Linked DNA regions of Schizosaccharomyces pombe. Changing the gene in region 1 together with any one later gene gives a genetic interaction. Each region holds a gene or a part of one and is shown in the gene's direction. Other genes may lie near its edges.

Region 1 (3,496 bases):
ACAAGTCCTCATTTCTTAGAGCCAAGAGATACCATAAGCATAAATGGTCAGATTGCTAGTGAAGAGATATTTAATACTTGTTGGAAGCAGGTGATTGAAGTGGATAGAAGATTTCGTACAAAAGCGACGGAATTTGAATTGTTAACTGCTACTGCGTTCCAATGTTTTCATCATTCAGGTGTTCGTGTGGCTGTAATTGAAACAGGAATGGGTGGTCGTTTGGATGCTACTAATGTATTTGAAGAACCAGTTCTTTCAATAATTTCACGTATTTGCTTGGACCATCAAGCATTTTTAGGAAATACCTTAGAGGCTATTGCTAAAGAAAAGGCTGGGATCTTTAAAAAGAATGTTCCGTGCGTGGTTGATGGGTTAAATGAAGTTAACGTCCTAAATCAATTAAAATTAAGTGCAGAGGAAACGAGGGCACATCCGTTTTATTTGGCAAAAGGAAAATCAGGTGAAAACAAAAATGAGTGGATCATCAATACTCCAAATTGGGGAACCAATACTTTTAGTACTCCATTGAAGGGGGATTATCAAGGACAAAATTTGGCTTGTGCAGTAACTGCTCTCGATATCCTTTCTTCGTCATTTTCAATTATGCTTCCCCATGTACAAAATGGTGTAAAAAATACATCTTGGCCTGGAAGGCTTGACATTCGTTCGGTTCCTTCTTTGGGTGATATTTTATTTGACGGAGCACACAATAAAGAAGCTGCGATTGAGCTTGCGAAATTTGTAAATTCGCAAAGACGTGAGCACAATAAATCAGTATCATGGGTAGTAGCTTTCACTAACACAAAAGACGTTACTGGGATTATGAAAATCCTTCTTCGTAAAGGAGATACCGTTATAGCGACAAATTTTTCTTCAGTAAGTGGGATGCCCTGGATTAAATCAATGGAACCTGAAGTTATAAAAAACAGTATATCTTCGGAATCTTCTGTGGAATGCTATACTGCAGATAATCTAACAATAAGCGAAATTTTAAGACTGGCAAAAGAGAAGAATTCCAGCGTAATTGTATGCGGTAGTCTTTATCTTCTAGGAGACATGTATCGTTATTTAAAACTGGACGTATAGCCTCTAAATCGTGCTGTTTACTTTCATACGTTTTTCCTTGTTTGACAAATTTATCATATGAATTGTCACAGAGTGATGAATTGTGCTCTAGAGAATTTTGTTCCATGACTTAAAAACTAAAATTTACTTTCAAAGAAGCTTGAATGATGCTATCAGGTTAATAGAAAAAAGATAAAAGATTTATATTAAGCTTTGATGGGTTTTTGGTGTGAGTTAAGATATTGAGTTAGAAATTGACTTATAGATTACGAATACATTAGTTTAAATACTTGGTGCGCTCTGCCTGCAGCCTTAATAAAACAGATATTATTTTCATTATGTGACTAGATCTTGATTTACAATTCTTACAAGATAAGGTGGGATAACTGAAGCATATTTAGCACATTGAAAGATTCCGCCTTTCTTTTAATTATTATTAAATACTGTCGTAACTGCAATAAAATAAGTAAAACGCTGAAATCGTTAAAAAAATATACCCTTCTATCTCACAGGTTGAGCTAATCAAGTTGATATACGTATAGTGCAAATGATAGGCATTTAAAAATTAGACTAATATAGTTTAACTATTACATTAATTTTAAAATACACAAACATTTAATTACTGTTTTAAAATTATACTCAGAGTCTAATTAATTACAGATTTACCGTAATCCATAGCGCTTGTTATCTATCATTACAGCAACAATGATTGCTACGCACTAAAATTCGTATACGTTTTAGATATAACATGTATAATCCACCAACATTTTTTGAGTATACAAAAAAGCAGAATGGCTGAACAACCTTCTCGGCAGCAGAGTATGTACTGTGGATGAGTTTAAAATACAAAATAGTTGACCAGTTCCAGTTCTACAGACGCAGTACAATTCATATAAGTCTCGGTTACAACAAATTGCGCAGAAGATTGTCGATTTGGAAACCGATGCTGACGAACATAAGTATGTGATACATAAAAAATTTTTAAATTAAATACCTAACTAAAAAGACTTGTTATGGACACATTAAACTCCATGGATAATAATCGACGTTGTTTTCGAATGATCCATGGAGTGCTAGTGGAGAGAACGGTGGGAACTGTTGTGCCTATCCTTAAAACTACTCAAGAAGGGGTAAGGAATTTTTTTATTTTGACCCTTTATTGTCAGATGAATTTTTGGTCTTGATGTACTAATCAAAATATTAGATTCAAACAGCCATGAATGGTTTGCTCGACCAGTATAAGCAGCTCGAAGCAGAATTCCAAAAGTTTCAAAAAGACAATAAAATTCAAGTCGTTAGACAATAATACAGATGACTCCATTAATTGCGCAGTTGCGTTCATTGACACGCCGACTGTTTTTCAAGTGCTTTATCTTCGGTTTAACATTTTTTTCCTAAACAGAGGAACAGGGATAGAATCCAAGAGTATTTGTGTCATCAAATATCATCACTTTATGTTATTAGAGTTTCACTTAAACCGTAGACTTAATACATGTAGTAAGTTAGGTAGAACTAACTTGATTGCGTCTCTACCTCCTTCACCTCAGGCGGAGATGTTTGAGCAACTTCATCAACAACGTGCTGGGAATCCTTATGGTCGACTTCGTTTGATTTTTCTTTAATTACATTATAGCACACAATTTTTTCAGAGGGTATGTCCTCTTGAATTTTGAAAGCAGGTAATGAGCATAAACCGGGAACGTGAATAGTCATTGAATATGCACAGCTTGAAACTTCTTGATATTGAGTAATTTCAGGAGTATCCGAATTTGTACTGCATTCATAACTTAGAATTACGTGTCTTGGTCTCTTAGTAATGTCGCACATAGTCCCATTTCGGAAAGTTGTTTGCAAATATGCTTTACCTTCAACAAATCCAATAGCCCAATTTTCTTCCAAATTCTTTTTAGTTTGAGTGTTAGGTGCCGTACCAAGTATATACATAGGGTTAGCAAGGACTTTGTCAGAACCTTGCTGCGGCTCCAAATGATATTGACGCACGTGTTGACCGTAGACATAGTCATAAGTCCAATAACCACGATTCTAATACAATGATTAGCTTGAAAAACACTACATGTACTAAAAGTAGTCATTAATTCTAAAATTTTTATGGACATGTCAAATAATGACCTTTTAGTAAAGTTGGTTTGTTTAAGACAAATAAAACAATTAGAACTCGTACCTCGATTAAAAATACATTAGCAAGCTCATTGATTTTTTCAGTCCCTTGTATCCGCAATTCTTGTAAATCATAGCTTGGTTCGGTTGTGCTATTTTGTTTTATAAGAGACGCATTGGGATATACACAAAAATATTCATGCTTTCCAGCATAGAATAATGACGATAATTTAGTTTTTTCAGTTTTTTCTTTAATTGAGTCAATGTCGCCCTCTAATATTGACACATTACTCCATTCAAACGAATATTTAGG
Region 2 (6,051 bases), 1.6 Mb from region 1:
AATCCAAACTATGTTATACATTATATACAACATTTGTTCCGATGAAAATGAAGTCATGGGTTTTTGATCAGGCGAAGGGAGTTGAAGCGGGCATGGTAAGGGAATACTGGTATACTGAGCTAAAAATATACAAATAAAGGATAAAGTTAAAGCACAATCAGGATTTAAAAACATTTTCTCTTTACTTCTGATACATACAGGAATGCCAGAAATAGTCACAGAGGCATTTAACTCCATCACCTGAGAAAAAAAGTTGCTATAAAAATGTCCTGTTTCATTGTCACTATGAGATAAGTCGGATTTCGAATTGCCCATTGATAATTTTGAAAGTCTATACGCAAGAGATGAATCTATGGAGTCAGGGTTAAACTCTGATCCCATTTGAGCAGATTTTTGAGTGCAACCCTGAGTGTTAAGCACTAAATCCCTTTGCCAGTGAAGTTGATACATATCCAAAACCCTTGTTATCAGCTTCTTTTGATACTCATGCAATTTATTTTGAAGTAGCTCAGAACGGCGATAAGCTGTAAGGTATTCCTTAGAGAAATAGTCACTCGTTGAATGTGATAAGCCAGCTAACTTTTGACTCGCGATATTAATTGATTTTTTGCGATTAGACAAGTCATCTTCTATAAGCTGTTTGCGGGAATGCAAGTCACACGATAACGATTTCTTTTCGTTTAGAGAGGCAGCAAGGTTCTGTAGTCGATAAGTTAATTCCTCTTTTTGGGTAATCTTTCCTTTTAGAGAGAAACTTTCTGATTTCAATTTAGCAACCTTTTCAAGCTCTGACTCAATATCTCGAGAGAATTCATCACGTTTATGATAAAAATCATAAAGCTGCTTTTTTAAACAGCTTTCGCAAATAGAAGGACGTCTTGTTTCGCATAATTGGCATTTATTGACATGCAGCATACAAACACACCTTCAGTTTAGATCCAACAATGCCTTCAAGTGGTACGCAAATTTCAATTATAGCACAGCAATAAGAAAACTTAAAAACCCAGCAGGATATTAATTTCCTACTACGTTAACTGTCAACTTGTATACAATATAGGTGTTGTTAAAATAATGAAGCAAAAACAAAGAAGAAAAAGGGAAAAAAAATAAACAGCGCAGGTTTTTAAACAATTATTCTTAGAAACGAAGGGCCTCCTAACGGACAAATTCAAAAATATTAATTTAAAAGTGAAACTGCATTCCTGGCTGTTCTTGCAGAATTGAACAACCAATGCGATATTTTTGACAGAAAAAACGACAAATATTAAGAAAAAATTATATTATACGAATTCAATGCAATGAGTAGATGGACTTCTATTTCTTCAAATCCCCGAAGTAGCTACTTAGCAGTTGATGTTCGTATTGATTACTACAATCGTATGCAAATAGTTACTTTATAAAGCGTTTAAAAATATTTCCTTAAAGTAGCCTGTTACTCGACACTCAAATTTTTGCTAAATAACTTTGAGTGATGAGCAAGGTGTTTTACAAAACTATTTTATCTAAATAAATAGGTTAATAAAATATTAACTAAATAATATAATCCTAGAACCCAAACCATCCTCTTTTAACATTAGCTTTTGCAGTATCACCTAGAAAACATAACGTGGTACGCTGCCATAATATAACGAAACACTATTTGTTGTCATATTTCTTAAGGTTCAGTGACAAAAGATCTCTAGTATCTGCAGTTATGTTTAATGATTTTATTAAAACTATAAAAGAATAAAGACAATTTCGCCACGGTATCTTTTGCTAAATGTTTAGTAATATAAAGAGCAAGTTGCCATCATGATATAGCTTTACCATAAACTACGTTACAACGTTTAAGGCATTATTTAGCATCAGTATTTGGGACCACTACCACCATATCACGCCCCCGTGCCACATCAAGAACAAACTACCAGCATAGTGTGCTCTTGAATTATACCGAATAATTCCATAATACAAAAGAAGGTATTGGGTGACTGGAGTCTTTTTCTTTAACAATCCGATTCATTGAGTGTTATTATTTTAATTTTGGTAATTTTCTTTTTCTTTTTTTAAACAAAGATTGTTTTTGGATAGCCAAAGTATAAGTCGTTTTTGGTGATCTTTAATTGCGAGTATTTGTTTATTGCTAGAGCTTACCAAGTTTGCTTCATCTTAAACATCAGGAAAATTTTAAATTTATATTTTAAAATTTTTTTGTCTACTTTTCATTTACATTTTATTTTTCTTCATTAAATTCTGCATATCATCTCGAAACAACGCTTATGTATTAGAAGAAGGTGGTCTATCCTAATTAACTCATACACATCTCGTAACTAAAGGAATTGTTTCTTGTTTTAGAAATTGCAATAAGTTTTGGCCCTCAAAATTTTTTGTAATCTGCTGTTCCCATATTAAGTTTTCAACTATTTGAGTTACCAAGAAACGCGTGAAACAAGAAATCTGTATTGTTTTGTCGTTATTTCTTCCATTTTAATTAATCTTAGGAGAATTTAAAAAGTTTCAATCTTTTTGCATCTATTCTCGGCGCTCTTAATTCGTGTGATAAAATTATTCATAATATACACGTGACCTTACATATTTTTTCTCCAAATCCTATATTTTAGATTCAATTTTCTTTTGCCATTTGCTTGGATACATTGATTGTTACTTAATTATGGATGGAAAAAGAAAAATAGAGCATACCGCTGATGGCACGCATTACGACGCGACTTCCAACGTGAAGCGCAAGCCAATTTTCCCCCCTTTCATTGCTGATTCGCTTTCAGAAGCTACCGAAAAAGCTAATGTTATGGGGGGTGGTATGAATTCGCGACTTCAGATTCTTTCAGAGATGTCTAAACGAGTTCAGGCTACTGCACCCATTTCAAGTTTAGAACATTTCAAGCAGTTGAGTGATATTTCTCCCTCATTTACTTCCTCTGCTAACTCCATAAATCAACCATATAATTATTCCGGTTCGTTAGAAAATCTTGTTCCTACACCTTCTGCTGGCACTCCTTCGCAATTTATGGATGCCCAAAATCCATACGGCGCTGTTTACAATGCTTTATCTCAATTCTCTGAGACAGAGCCCAAAATGCCCTCTTACATGGATGACGAAGAAGCAAGCGATTCTTTACCTCTTTCATTATCGTCTCAATCACTGAGTTCACAGGTTACAAATCAAAAGCCAGCCCCACATCGTCTTACAATGAGAGAACGATATGCTGCTAATAATCTTACTAACGGACTTCAATTTACCTTGCCATTGTCATCTCGAAAGACTTATGAGCCTGAAGCTGACGATGACAGCAATGATGATATGTACTCTGATGATGATTCAAATGCAGATCGCTGGGCATCTCGTATAGATACTGCTGCTCTAAAGGAGGAAGTTCTTAAATATATGAATCGTTGTTCAACACAGGATTTGGCTGACATGACAGGTTGTACGCTTGCTGAAGCTGAATTTATGGTTGCCAAAAGACCTTTTCCAGATCTTGAATCTGCTTTGGTCGTTAAGCAACCTCGTCCGGTGATTCCCAAAGGTAGACGAGGTAGACGTGAAAAAACTCCTCTTGGACCACGTTTAGTTGGTATATGTATGGAAATTATGCGTGGTTATTTCGTAGTGGATGCGCTTATTCGTCAGTGTGAGCAGCTAGGTGGTAAAATTCAGCGCGGCATTGAAGCGTGGGGCTTGTCAAACACTGCTACATCTGATGAAGGTGAAACTTCTCTTGTCAACTTTGATCAAATGAAAAGTTTCGGTACGCCTGCAAATTCCTCGTTTATCACTACACCTCCTGCATCTTTTTCGCCCGATATCAAACTACAGGATTATCAGATCATTGGGATTAATTGGCTTTACCTTTTGTACGAGCTCAAACTGGCTGGTATCCTGGCTGATGAAATGGGGCTCGGTAAAACTTGTCAAACCATCGCTTTTTTCTCATTACTCATGGATAAAAATATTAACGGGCCACATTTGGTAATTGCACCTGCTTCAACGATGGAGAATTGGTTACGTGAATTTGCCAAGTTCTGTCCCAAGCTAAAAATTGAACTTTATTATGGATCGCAAGTCGAACGTGAAGAAATTCGTGAACGTATCAACTCTAATAAAGATTCTTATAACGTTATGTTAACCACCTACCGTTTAGCCGCTACTAGTAAGGCTGATCGTTTGTTTTTGCGCAACCAAAAGTTCAATGTTTGTGTATATGACGAAGGTCATTACTTGAAAAACCGTGCGTCTGAGAGATATCGTCATTTGATGAGTATTCCTGCCGACTTTCGAGTTTTGCTAACTGGTACACCGCTACAGAATAATCTTAAAGAATTAATTTCGCTTTTAGCGTTCATTCTTCCTCATGTATTTGATTATGGTTTGAAAAGTTTAGATGTCATTTTTACTATGAAAAAATCCCCAGAAAGCGACTTTGAACGAGCATTGCTTTCAGAACAGCGAGTATCGAGAGCCAAAATGATGATGGCCCCATTTGTCCTTCGCCGTAAAAAGAGCCAGGTGTTAGATGCTTTGCCGAAGAAAACGCGTATTATAGAATTTTGCGAATTTTCCGAAGAGGAACGTCGCCGTTATGATGACTTCGCTAGCAAACAAAGTGTAAATTCTTTATTGGATGAAAATGTCATGAAAACTAATTTAGATACGAATGCAAATCTTGCAAAGAAGAAAAGCACAGCTGGTTTTGTGCTTGTACAGCTTCGTAAGCTTGCGGATCACCCTATGTTGTTTCGAATTCATTATAAAGATGATATCCTTCGACAAATGGCGAAAGCTATTATGAATGAACCCCAATACAAAAAGGCAAACGAACTTTATATATTTGAAGACATGCAGTACATGTCAGATATTGAGCTACATAATTTGTGTTGCAAATTTCCGTCTATCAATTCATTCCAACTTAAAGATGAACCTTGGATGGACGCCACAAAGGTCAGAAAACTTAAAAAACTGCTCACTAATGCTGTTGAAAATGGCGACAGAGTTGTATTATTTAGTCAGTTTACACAGGTTTTGGACATTCTTCAACTTGTCATGAAATCATTAAATCTAAAGTTTTTAAGATTTGATGGTTCTACACAAGTCGATTTCCGCCAGGATCTCATCGATCAATTTTATGCTGATGAAAGCATTAATGTATTTCTTCTTTCTACCAAAGCCGGCGGTTTTGGTATCAATCTTGCGTGTGCTAATATGGTTATTCTTTATGATGTCTCTTTCAATCCATTCGATGACCTTCAGGCGGAAGATAGAGCACATAGAGTTGGCCAAAAGAAAGAAGTTACAGTTTATAAATTTGTTGTCAAGGATACCATCGAAGAGCACATTCAACGTTTAGCCAACGCTAAAATTGCTTTGGATGCGACTCTTTCCGGCAATGCCGAAACTGTGGAGGCTGAAGATGACGATGATTAGTTTATACAGGGTTTTTTATGCATTAGTTTTAAAATAGTCAAATTGATTAGGTTTCTACTTTATTCGAGTAAACCTTTCTCTTTATTTTCAATTGTATTATCTGTATTTGTGTTTTGCACGTTATAAGTCGATCCCGTTTCACTAAATCAGATTAAAAGATTTGATTTGTAAAAGTAAATTCTATTTATTGAATGATACAAATTCAGTACTTCTTCAACCTAATATGAAAGCTTTTAGCTTCTTGACACCATTTATATACCACGCCAAAAACGCGTCGTGAAAATGGTCAGTCTTTTTTGAAGATAATACAGCAAATAAGCGATTCTTATTATCCAAAGTCGTTCTAAAACTTGCAAAACAAAAGTTGACAGAGGAAAGCACTTCACCTAGTAAGTTTATGAAATCATATTATTACATTTTATTTCTCAACTTCGAATAATAGTAATCGAATAAATAATGAATTTTGTTCAATTTTAATACTACAAAGAGTGTTAAATGCTGAATCTTTATATGTGGAAGCTAAGTCGCTCTCAAGTTTATCAAGCTTCATTATTATTTGGAAGCAGAGTAATTAGTGCTCTTGCATTTACAAATACCGGTCTAGTTTTGCATGGCCCAAGAAGATGGTATACTAC

Evidence for each region. A genetic interaction does not mean that the proteins touch.
Region 2: mutations in pfd2 (region 1) and fft3 together harm fitness more than expected from each alone (negative genetic interaction), as found in Schizosaccharomyces pombe (2 studies listed by BioGRID).

What each region holds. Positions count from the first base shown.
Region 1 is NC_003424.3:511,975-515,470, forward strand, and holds pfd2 (prefoldin subunit 2), read left to right. Parts: upstream 1-1,827; 5' UTR 1,828-1,856; coding exon 1,857-1,884; intron 1,885-1,933; coding exon 1,934-2,024; exon of another isoform or gene 2,025-2,071; coding exon 2,072-2,195; exon of another isoform or gene 2,196-2,269; coding exon 2,270-2,371; 3' UTR 2,372-2,577; downstream 2,578-3,496. Other genes in the region: fol3 (folylpolyglutamate synthase), read left to right, coding at 1-1,086; putative misfolded glycoprotein sensor Yos9, read right to left, coding at 2,578-3,108, 3,248-3,496.
Region 2 is NC_003424.3:2,097,646-2,103,696, reverse strand, and holds fft3 (protein Fft3), read left to right. Parts: upstream 1-1,891; 5' UTR 1,892-2,647; coding exon 2,648-5,416; 3' UTR 5,417-5,502; downstream 5,503-6,051. Other genes in the region: protein Atg14, read right to left, coding at 1-915; SPOM_SPAC25A8.03C (uncharacterized protein), read left to right, coding at 5,912-6,051. UniProt on the Schizosaccharomyces pombe protein: DNA helicase that possesses intrinsic ATP-dependent nucleosome-remodeling activity and is required for heterochromatin organization.